Saccharomyces cerevisiae S288C: one gene and its partner. Each later gene encodes a partner of the first gene's protein in a complex. Each region holds a gene or a part of one and is shown on either strand. Other genes may lie near its edges.

Evidence for each region.
Region 2: RQC1 (region 1) and RKR1 share a complex: the UniProt entries of both Saccharomyces cerevisiae proteins name them as parts of the ribosome quality control complex.

Annotation. Positions count from the first base shown.
Region 1 is NC_001136.10:1,132,451-1,137,025, reverse strand, and holds RQC1 (Rqc1p), read left to right. Parts: upstream 1-1,594; coding exon 1,595-3,766; downstream 3,767-4,575. Other genes in the region: chromatin-remodeling protein SWR1, read right to left, coding at 1-1,094; IRC3 (double-stranded DNA-dependent ATPase), read right to left, coding at 3,956-4,575. UniProt on the Saccharomyces cerevisiae protein: Component of the ribosome quality control complex (RQC), a ribosome-associated complex that mediates ubiquitination and extraction of incompletely synthesized nascent chains for proteasomal degradation.
Region 2 is NC_001145.3:762,812-770,058, reverse strand, and holds RKR1 (ubiquitin-protein ligase RKR1), read left to right. Parts: upstream 1-2,019; coding exon 2,020-6,708; downstream 6,709-7,247. Other genes in the region: YMR247W-A (uncharacterized protein), read right to left, coding at 633-776. UniProt on the Saccharomyces cerevisiae protein: E3 ubiquitin-protein ligase component of the ribosome quality control complex (RQC), a ribosome-associated complex that mediates ubiquitination and extraction of incompletely synthesized nascent chains for proteasomal degradation.

The DNA of each region.
Region 1 (4,575 bases):
AGCTTACTCATATGAATACCTTGGTTAATTAAGTGATCGGTATGGATTTGCAGATCTTGTTGTTTATAGAAATATGAAATCGGGTCTGGTTTATATGTTATGATAGTCTTGATTTCCTTGGATGTTATAGGTTGTAGTGAGTCCGTTTCTTTGTCATACTTCAATGCGCCATTTTCAATACCTTTTTTGAGTCTCGATAAAAGCCGTCTTTGTTCGTCGATGTATTTATTATATTCTTCCAGCGTTAAATCGTCTTCTAATGACTTAAAGGAAGCGATGTATTCGTGCAAGCTTTCGTATCCCGGCTTGACTACATGCAACGGGTTCGTTATGGTTTGCTTTGGAGGATGGACTACCAGTTTTATTCTAGGCTTCTTTTTCTTTCTACCTCTTTTTTTCTTTATATCTTCCTCTTCGGATGATGTGGTGAAATAAAAATTATCACTATAATGTTCACTAGTATTTTCAAAGGAGCTATCATCAGAAGGACACTTTATAGTGAAGGCTTCAGAGGGTTCTTCAACTTTTGCGATGTGATCATATCTCTCTTCAGCTATATGTTCATGCAATGGCAGTGGATTTTCCTTTCTTTCACTTTTGAACTTCAAGGACTTCGCTGCTTCTCTCTTCTTCAAATGTTGTATTGGTCTTTTTTGCGGTACTATAGATTTCCTATTTGAATGATCACTTAGTTTGTATTTTAGCTCCTCACATTTATTTCGTACTAATGGTGCTATGCTTTCTAACTTCAGTTCTATATCACCCTTTTTCTCATTAGTCGTTTCTGAACTAACAACTGTCGATGTCCTGAGGTTTCGCCTTCTGCGAGTAAGATCACCATTCGTGCCTTTCTTGGCTACGTCATCAGTGAATTTTTCTCCTCTCTCCTCTAACGACAAGTGTGTTTCCCTGAGAAACTTCTGAAAACTTTCAGAATCATTAAAATGGGTTGGATCATAATCTACCAATGAAACAAACTCTCTTAAATGGAACAGTTCATTCGTCAGAAGATCATACCTAAACTTCAAATCCGCCAGATCCTGTTCACCACCAGCCTTTTTGTCTTTCGCATGCGATTTACGAGATGTGGTCATATATTCTTGTAATGCAATAACTTGGAAAATGCAAAGAGCAGTTAGAATTCATAAATTTTCAGCTTAAGGAAATATTTTCTAAGAGTTAAAATGGTATTGTTGAATACCTCTCAAATGCAGTAATCGAATGCTTTGGGTCTTATCTAGTTTAAAGCTCAAAATCTATCCTTTTTGCACGTAAACACTTTAGAATCCCGCTATCCCTTTGCACTCTTTCTTCAAGTCTCCTCTTTTTTTTTTTTCTCGTAAGTTGTCGCGAAACGCCACCGAAAAATCTTAAGGAAATAATATTAAAAACTGAAAAAAAAAAAATTGAGAAAGTATTACCCTCCCTTAATAATCGTATAGAGGTATAAACGGGTAACATTATGCGAGCAATATGTTCACTACTGCATCAACGTATAGTGAAAAATGTCCATAGGTAGTACATACAGTCCACCAGTTGAAGGTTAACATACAGGTCGTTGAATCATCTAAATATATTTGTAAAGTACTCGAACATGAGCTCTAGAGCATTAAGGAGATTACAAGATGATAATGCTCTGCTAGAGTCGCTGCTATCGAATTCAAATGCGAATAAAATGACGAGTGGTAAAAGTACTGCCGGTAATATTCAGAAACGGGAGAACATCTTCTCTATGATGAATAACGTACGTGATTCAGATAATAGCACTGATGAAGGACAAATGTCTGAGCAGGATGAAGAAGCTGCTGCTGCTGGGGAGCGTGATACTCAAAGTAATGGTCAACCTAAAAGAATTACACTAGCATCCAAGTCTTCTAGAAGGAAAAAGAATAAAAAGGCAAAAAGGAAGCAAAAAAACCATACCGCCGAGGCTGCAAAAGACAAGGGTTCCGATGATGATGATGATGATGAAGAATTCGACAAGATTATCCAACAGTTCAAAAAAACTGATATATTGAAGTACGGTAAGACTAAAAATGATGACACTAATGAGGAAGGTTTCTTCACGGCATCTGAACCAGAGGAAGCATCTAGCCAACCTTGGAAGTCATTTTTAAGCTTAGAAAGTGATCCGGGCTTCACAAAGTTCCCCATTTCATGTTTGAGGCATTCTTGCAAATTTTTTCAAAATGATTTCAAGAAATTGGACCCCCATACGGAATTCAAACTTTTATTTGACGATATATCTCCAGAGTCTCTTGAAGATATTGATTCGATGACATCCACACCTGTCTCCCCTCAGCAGCTGAAACAGATTCAGAGACTGAAAAGATTAATTAGAAACTGGGGCGGAAAAGATCATAGATTGGCACCTAATGGCCCCGGAATGCACCCGCAACATTTGAAGTTTACCAAGATCAGAGATGATTGGATCCCAACTCAAAGAGGTGAGCTCTCTATGAAACTTTTAAGTTCTGATGATCTTTTAGATTGGCAATTATGGGAAAGGCCGTTAGATTGGAAGGATGTTATCCAAAACGATGTCAGTCAGTGGCAAAAATTCATTTCTTTTTATAAGTTCGAACCTTTAAATTCCGACCTGAGCAAGAAATCAATGATGGACTTCTACTTAAGTGTTATTGTTCACCCTGATCATGAAGCCCTTATAAATTTGATTTCTTCTAAATTTCCGTATCATGTGCCTGGACTGCTACAAGTTGCTTTGATATTTATTAGGCAAGGTGATAGATCAAACACTAATGGATTGTTACAAAGAGCACTCTTTGTCTTTGATAGAGCTTTGAAAGCAAATATTATTTTCGATTCCTTGAATTGTCAACTACCTTATATATACTTCTTCAACAGACAGTTTTACTTGGCAATATTTAGATACATCCAATCTCTTGCTCAAAGAGGTGTTATAGGAACTGCTAGTGAATGGACAAAAGTTCTCTGGTCACTGAGCCCATTGGAAGATCCTTTAGGATGCAGGTATTTCCTCGATCACTATTTTCTATTGAATAATGACTATCAGTACATTATAGAATTATCCAACTCTCCATTAATGAACTGTTATAAACAGTGGAATACTTTAGGATTTTCCTTGGCGGTAGTACTAAGCTTCCTAAGAATAAATGAGATGAGTTCCGCCCGCAATGCGCTTCTAAAAGCCTTTAAGCATCATCCTTTACAACTGTCAGAACTTTTCAAGGAGAAACTCTTGGGCGATCATGCGCTAACTAAAGATTTATCCATTGATGGCCATTCGGCAGAAAACTTGGAATTAAAGGCATATATGGCCCGCTTCCCGTTACTTTGGAATAGAAACGAAGAGGTAACATTTTTGCATGATGAAATGTCGAGTATTTTACAGGATTACCATAGAGGAAACGTTACAATCGATTCAAATGATGGGCAAGATCACAATAACATTAACAACTTGCAATCACCTTTCTTTATTGCGGGAATCCCAATTAACTTATTAAGATTCGCCATACTATCTGAGGAGTCTTCTGTAATGGCTGCAATTCCATCATTTATCTGGTCTGATAATGAAGTATATGAGTTTGACGTATTACCACCAATGCCTACGTCAAAAGAATCAATCGAAGTGGTTGAAAACATCAAAACCTTTATTAATGAAAAGGATTTAGCTGTCCTTCAGGCAGAAAGAATGCAAGATGAGGACCTGTTGAATCAAATTAGACAAATATCTTTGCAACAGTACATTCATGAAAATGAAGAGTCAAATGAAAATGAGGGTTAATAAGAAATGTTGCAGCTCATTTTCTAGTACGCAGAGTAAGGCTAAAGCACTTATTTGAATTTAACGTTATTCATTGCATAGTTCAGAAAGGGTGTGATCCAAAAGAAAATGCATATACGAGTGGTCCGACGTTTACATATGTACTAGTGACTGTATATTAATATATGCACATTTATGTAGCTACGGATTTCACTTTATAAAAGATCTTCTTTTTTGATATTCTAATATTCGTAACAATGATTTCAACGGGTAGACAGGTGCCAAACTGCTGGCAAAGATTAAGTTGGAAGCATCTCCTTTCGTCATCTTAGTATTTACATAAGTAGTAACATCATCCAAAGATAATCTAATAAAATCTTTTGAGGACTCACCATATACTTTCTTTAGCTTTCTGAAAACAAAGTCTCTTTGTTTTGACGTAGGAACTGTTTGTCTCCATTTCGAGTATTTACTAGATATTGCCTGGTATTGCATTGTTTGTCCTTCCAAGTCCGAATTTAGAGTATTTATGATTTTTTCCACCTTTGACATTACATTCCAAAGATTAGCGTCTTTTATTATACTTTTTGGAACATAGTCCGCGTATTTATTTGTTATAAAACACGGTAATTGTCGATACATTTTTAGATGATATACCATCGACAATTTGTCTTCGGATTTTTCTTTGTATATTCTCAAATGATTCTTACCTTTTAAAGGGAGGCCCCACGCATTTGAGGCAAATTTCACCCACGGATATTGTGAGTTCATCAACAGCTCCATTTCTTTTACAGCTTCAGAAGCTTCATCAAACTCCTTGCCAGATGGAT
Region 2 (7,247 bases), on another chromosome or scaffold:
ATAGCATTGAGGCAGAGACAATATACAGTTTTTGGGTTAATTCTTGGCCTTGTGCTATAGCTAGCACGTCGTCGAATCCTAAGACCTTGTTTGAAAAGAATCGTCCAAAATGGGAGAACTGGCGCCAATGAATAAACCAGACGAAGGTATCACGAACATGTGCCAAAGCTTGTACCGGTACCAAATTATGCGAATGTCAGTCAGTAACAATGTCAGACCCTACTATCAACCCAGATGTAGCTCAAGTGGAACCTACTGTTCTCTCAAGCTTTTTAATAGAAACGCTCATAGAATATCATAGAGAGTTCAATAATAGCGGTATCATAGTTTATCTGATAACGTGCAAACTGTCCTGATCATGAAGCGGAGTTGAATGACAGGGTGATGGAATTGATGGCTAGTTGCTTTCGTATGCCTCGGTATAGGCATGCTAATGACACCCTAGGGTGGCTATTAGTATGTTGCAATGCCGAGAGGAGGTTGAATAACAATACCATTACATCAGCCGATAATATAGTGCATTGTATCAGCAAAATTAAGCAGTCAATTTATTTTTTTATCATTTAATGGCGATGGTTGGATAATTGTCTAAGAACAGTATTGAGTATTGCAATAAACCACTAAGGTTAGCCTCACGGCCAAACTATGTTGGTATCACTGTTACTAACAAGGTGGTTGTGTACGTGAAGGCAGATTGGCCTCAGAAGGCTCTTACCATTAAATAACAAGGCCATTATTCCACTCAATAGCTTGGCACTTGCACATTTGTGTGCCATTTACACTGAATGATTCATCTTTTTGATATCATGCAATATAATAATACAGGTGATAGAATGCGAAAAGCACGGGAAATAGGTGACTTTTGAGATAGTTGTTGAATACCATTTCCATAACAATACAATTTGGACAACATTATCTTATACCGAATATACCTTAAGTTTTACTCGAAAATATAGGAATCCATAAAAGGATCGATGATTCTTCATAATAATATTATGGTTTCTCGTTCCACTTTATATGTTGTCACTCATTATCCTATTGCATTATCAAGTCGTGCGTTCCACCCCCATTAAATTTGATGGCAGCTTTTAAATCTTTACCTTTATGCCATATTTCTACGTCGTATATGTAATAAGATGGATGCTAGACTATAGGGGGTAGGTGGTTCCTCTTCCGACATGTAGAGAATGTGGATTTTGATGTAATTGTTGGGATTCCATTGTGATTAAGGCTATAATATTAGGTATGTAGATATACTAGAAGTTCTCCTCGAGGATTTAGGAATCCATAAAAGGGAATCTGCAATTCTACACAATTCTATAAATATTATTATCATCGTTTTATATGTTAATATTCATTGATCCTATTACATTATCAATCCTTGCGTTTCAGCTTCCACTAATTTAGATGACTATTTCTCATCATTTGCGTCATCTTCTAACACCGTATATGATAATATACTAGTAACGTAAATACTAGTTAGTAGATGATAGTTGATTTTTATTCCAACACGACAATCATGAGTAATTACTTGATAGTGGATAGTAAGTTTTGATAGACACTTCCATTTTAAACTGATTTCACTTTTTACAGTGGCTAGAAATTACAATAAGAAATGGGCGTGTGGCGTAGTCGGTAGCGCGCTCCCTTAGCATGGGAGAGGTCTCCGGTTCGATTCCGGACTCGTCCAAATTTTTTGCTACTTTGCAATTAGTGTAACTTCATATTTAAAATTATAGTTAATCAAGAACAGAATATCGTCACAATGCTCTTTAAATGTTACGTACTTCTTACCTCCAGCTTGACTATATACTTGTCAATTCGAGTTAACCCAGATTATGCCCCAACATGGAAAACTGAAAAATATTGATGAAGCGAGGAAAAAAAACGTCATAGGAAAAATTCAAATGTTGCAACTTCAGATGGTTTTCTTCAATATATACAATACTGAAGAAGTCCTTCTTAATAGTTCAAATCTGCTAAGCCATCAAAAAAAGTTCAAGCAATAGTTGGTTCTTAATGTCGTTTGGTGGAATCAATACATTTCAACAGTATAACACAGATTTAGGGCTCGGCCATAATGGTGTTAGAATATCCTTAAACTACTTTGATGGTTTGCCGGATCCAAGTCTTTTAAACTCCTTGTACTCGAACGAGCTGAAACTCATTTTCAAATCTCTTCTGAAAAGAGATGAAACTACAAAAGAAAAAGCTTTAATGGATCTTTCCAATTTGATCAGCGACTTTAACCAGAATGAGTACTTTTTCAATGACATTTTTCTTCTTTGTTGGTCGCAGATATATGCTAAACTGATAATTAGTGATTACAAGGTCATCAGACTGCAATCACATCAAATTACTATAATGCTTGTCAAAAGCCTTCGGAAGAAAATATCGAAGTTTTTAAAGGATTTTATACCTTTGATACTTCTCGGTACATGCGAACTCGATTATAGTGTTTCCAAACCTTCTCTTAATGAATTAACAGAGTGTTTCAACAAAGACCCAGCAAAAATTAACGCCTTATGGGCTGTTTTTCAAGAACAACTATTGAATTTAGTAAAGGAGATTGTTGTAAACGAGAATGAAGATACCATTTCTGATGAACGTTACTCCAGTAAAGAAGAATCTGAGTTTAGATACCACAGAGTTATAGCAAGTGCCGTATTGCTGCTGATTAAGCTTTTTGTTCATAACAAAGACGTCTCAGAACGTAATTCTTCCAGTCTTAAGGTGATTCTTTCTGATGAGTCAATCTGGAAACTACTTAACTTAAAAAATGGGCAAAATACAAATGCCTACGAAACAGTTCTTCGATTGATTGATGTTCTTTATACAAGAGGTTACATGCCTTCCCACAAAAATATAATGAAGTTAGCGGTGAAAAAACTATTGAAATCGTTGACTCATATTACGTCAAAGAATATTCTAAAAGTATGCCCTGTTCTCCCATCAATACTGAACCTTTTAGCTACCTTGGATGACTATGAAGATGGGACAATATGGTCATACGATAAATCTTCTAAAGAAAAAGTACTCAAATTTTTATCGGTTTCCCGTACTTCACCATCGCCAGGATTTTTCAATGCTGTGTTTGCATTGTACAGCTCGACTAAAAGACACAGTTTTCTTGATTATTATCTTGAATGGCTTCCATTTTGGCAAAAATCGGTGCAAAGACTGAATGAAAAGGGCTTTTCTGCGAGAAACAGCGCTGAGGTTCTTAATGAGTTTTGGACAAATTTTTTGAAGTTCGCTGAGGATTCATCAGAAGAAAGAGTGAAAAAAATGGTGGAAAGTGAGATTTTTAACTCTCTGTCTTGCGGGAAATCTTTATCTGAGTACACAAAACTGAACCAGACTCTTAGTGGCGTCTTTCCACCCGATAAATGGGAGAGAGAGATTGAAGATTACTTCACTTCAGACGAAGACATAAGAAAAATAAAGGTGAGCTTTGAGAAGAATCTTTTTGCTTTATTGGTTACTTCTCCTAATAACGAATCCGCAATTAGTCGTTTATTCGATTTTTTTGTGCAATTAATCGAAACAGATCCCTCAAATGTTTTCAACAAATACGACGGTGTATATGATGCTCTCAATTACTTTTTAGATTCAGATATGATTTTCTTGAATGGGAAGATAGGGAAATTTATAAACGAAATTCCAACGTTGGTCCAAGAATCAACATATCAAAACTTTGCTGGTATCATGGCACAGTACTCAAACTCCAAATTTTTCAAAATGAATACTGACGCGATTACTTCGTTGGAAGACTTTTTTATCGTTGCGCTTTCTTTTAACTTACCAAAGACAATAATTTTAGCCACAATGAATGAGTTGGACAATGATATTTATCAACAATTAATGAAATCAGATTCCCTAGAATTAGAATTGTACATTGAAGACTTTATGAAAAATTATAAGTTTGACGACAGTGGGGAAATATTTAAAGGTAATAATAAATTTTTAAATCAAAGGACTATCACCACACTTTACCGAAGCGCAGTTGCCAATGGCCAAGTTGAACAATTTTGTGCTGTTTTGTCTAAATTAGATGAAACTTTTTTTTCAACGTTATTGCTGAATACCGATTTTCTTTCTTGTGCATTGTATGAAGTTTCAGAAGACACTAATGAGAAACTATTCAAGTTGTCATTACAGTTGGCTAAAGGGAATTCTGAAATCGCTAATAAGTTGGCCCAAGTGATTTTGCAACATGCTCAGGTTTATTTCAGCCCCGGGGCAAAAGAAAAATATGTCACACACGCCGTGGAGCTAATTAATGGCTGCAACGATACTTCTCAGATTTTTTTTCCCGCTAACGCAATCGAAGTTTTTGCCAGATATATGCCAGCAATTGATTATAGGTCATCCTTAGTGAGCAGCTTAAGTACTAACACGCATTTGCTCCTTACAGATGATAAGCCTATCAATTTAAAAAATATGCAAAAGCTCATCAGGTATGCTCTATTCTTAGATGCCCTACTTGATGCTCTTCCAGAGCGCGTTAATAACCATATTGTTGCATTTATAACTGTAGTTTCTGAGCTCGTCACTGATTATAATTGCCTTTCAGAGGAACCAAATGATCTTTACTATGATTTTGGGCATACCTTTTTCAAACATGGCAAAGTAAATTTGAACTTTTCTGATATTGTTGGAAACGTTATTCAGCCTGCTAATGGTGGTGATGCTATGCTTACTTTTGATATTGCTGAAAGTAATTCTGTCTACTTTTTTTATTATTCAAGAGTATTATATAAGGTTCTATTGAACAGCATTGATACTGTTTCATCCACCACATTAAATGGGCTATTAGCATCGGTTGAAAGTTTTGTCACGAAAACTGTGAGGGATCAAAAATCTACTGATAAAGATTATCTCCTATGTGCTATATTACTATTGATGTTTAACAGGTCCAACTCAAAAGATGAGATAACGAAATTAAGGACATTGCTGGCATCTCAATTGATTGGGATTAGAGAAGTAGAACTTGTCGATCAAGAATTCAAGTCGTTAGCTCTTTTAAATAATCTGCTGGATATCCCACAGGCAGATAAACAGTTTGTTCCTATAGCACCGCAGAGACTGAACATGATATTCCGTTCAATACTAAAATGGTTGGATAGTGATCTTGCCTACGAGCCTAGCTTTAGCACCGTTAGATTGTTACTACTAGATTTTTTCACCAAACTGATGAGGTTTGAAGGAGTCAGAGATATGGGCATAACAGCTTTTGAACTTTCGGAAAGGTTGCTGGCAGACTCTCTATCGATGTGTCAAATTGATGACACTTTATATTTGTTAGAACTTCGCTCTTCCTGTTTGAACTTATATGAAACATTGTCGCAAGGCGTTTCCAAAAATGGCGAGGAAATCTCAGAATATGGTGATGAAATTCAAGAAAATTTGATTGAACTGATGTTTCTCAACTTTAATCAAGAAAGAAATAACCAAGTATCCACACTCTTCTACCAGAAATTGTACAAGGTCATTTCCTCAATGGAACTCAAAAAGTTAGAATCTCAATACAAAAGAATATTCGAGGTTGTATTGAATGATAAGGATATCGGTAGTAATATTAATCAATCAAGATTATTAACTACTTTGTTGGGTTCTTTGGTGGTAAAAACACAGCAGGATATTATAATTGAGTATGAACTGAGGATTCAAAAACAAACTGGCTCAGACGTAGATGGTAGTGCATCTGATAATGATGTAAACTCAAAATTTAAACTACCTCAAAAATTATTACAAAAAGTTACTGATGAGGTGCCAAAAGAATACCTTGAATACGAGAATAAAAATTCATTTATTAAATATCTATGGTATTGGCACTTGATACTGATGTACTTCAAAGATACGTCTTATAATATGAGACAAATATTTATTGAACAATTAAAGGAAGCTGGTTTAATCAATAGAATGTTTGATTTCATAACAGATCAAATAGATTTAAGAGATACTGAGTTTTGGAAACAGGTCGACACCAAGGAAATTTCGGAATACAACATTGTCGGCAATAATTTCTCTCCTTATAAAGAAGACATATTTGAAGAATGTAAAAAACTTTTGGGCCATACACTTTATCAGTTGTTTAACAACGTCGGTTGTCTAACGAGTATTTGGTGGTTAAATATAAAAGATAGGACATTACAAAATGATATTGAAAAGTTTGTCTCAGAGTTCATCTCCCCAATTTTGATCAAAAATGAATTTGACGATATCAATTCTAAGATGGACCGCCTGACTTCTAATGATGATGCTTTGACTATTAAATTAAATAATATTACTAATGAAGTGAAGGCAAGCTATTTGATTGACGACCAAAAGTTGGAGATTTCCTTCAAACTACCAAAAAACTACCCTTTAACAAATATCCAAGTTAATGGCGTCTCTAGAGTTGGTATAAGTGAACAAAAATGGAAACAATGGATAATGTCTACACAACATGTAATTACAGGCATGAATGGATCCGTTTTGGATTCGTTGGAGTTGTTTACTAAAAATGTGCACTTACAATTTTCTGGTTTCGAGGAATGTGCCATATGTTACTCTATACTACATGCCGTGGATAGGAAACTACCTTCGAAGACATGTCCGACTTGTAAAAATAAGTTCCACGGAGCATGTCTTTACAAGTGGTTTCGATCATCGGGTAACAATACATGTCCATTATGCCGTAGTGAAATTCCATTTAGAAGGTAGACTATCGCATATAAATTTCATATAAATGTACTACATTTTTTAAACAAAGTTCCTTTTATTATTGTGCTCTCTTACAAATTATACAATCCAGCCCTATACCTTGCCAATCCAGCCCATCACCCGGATATTCTGGAAATTTTTTCTCTTCAGGATTTTTTCAGGATAAAAATCGAACTTGAAAGAAGAATGGTTTTTAGTTCAGGCCTTGTTTTCAGTTTTTAGCTACTAAAAGAGGGATAACCATTGATGAAATTCTATTGAATGTCCCCAATTTTCGGAAAAGGACTGCACCGAAATATTTCAATCAAAATCATTTATCGTTTTGTTTAGCTATTTTTTTCTCAAATTATCACTCTTTTCTTCCTTTTTCATTCTCTCAATTGTTCTTTTTATTTGAGGAAATTTGATTGTATTGCATATACAACTATGCGATGCACTTTGTTCATTTTAACTTTGGATATATGTGCCTTGCTATGAACGCGTTCATTTTTAAGTGACCGGACCCTAAAATATTCAGGTAGCATGACGGAAGCTATGAA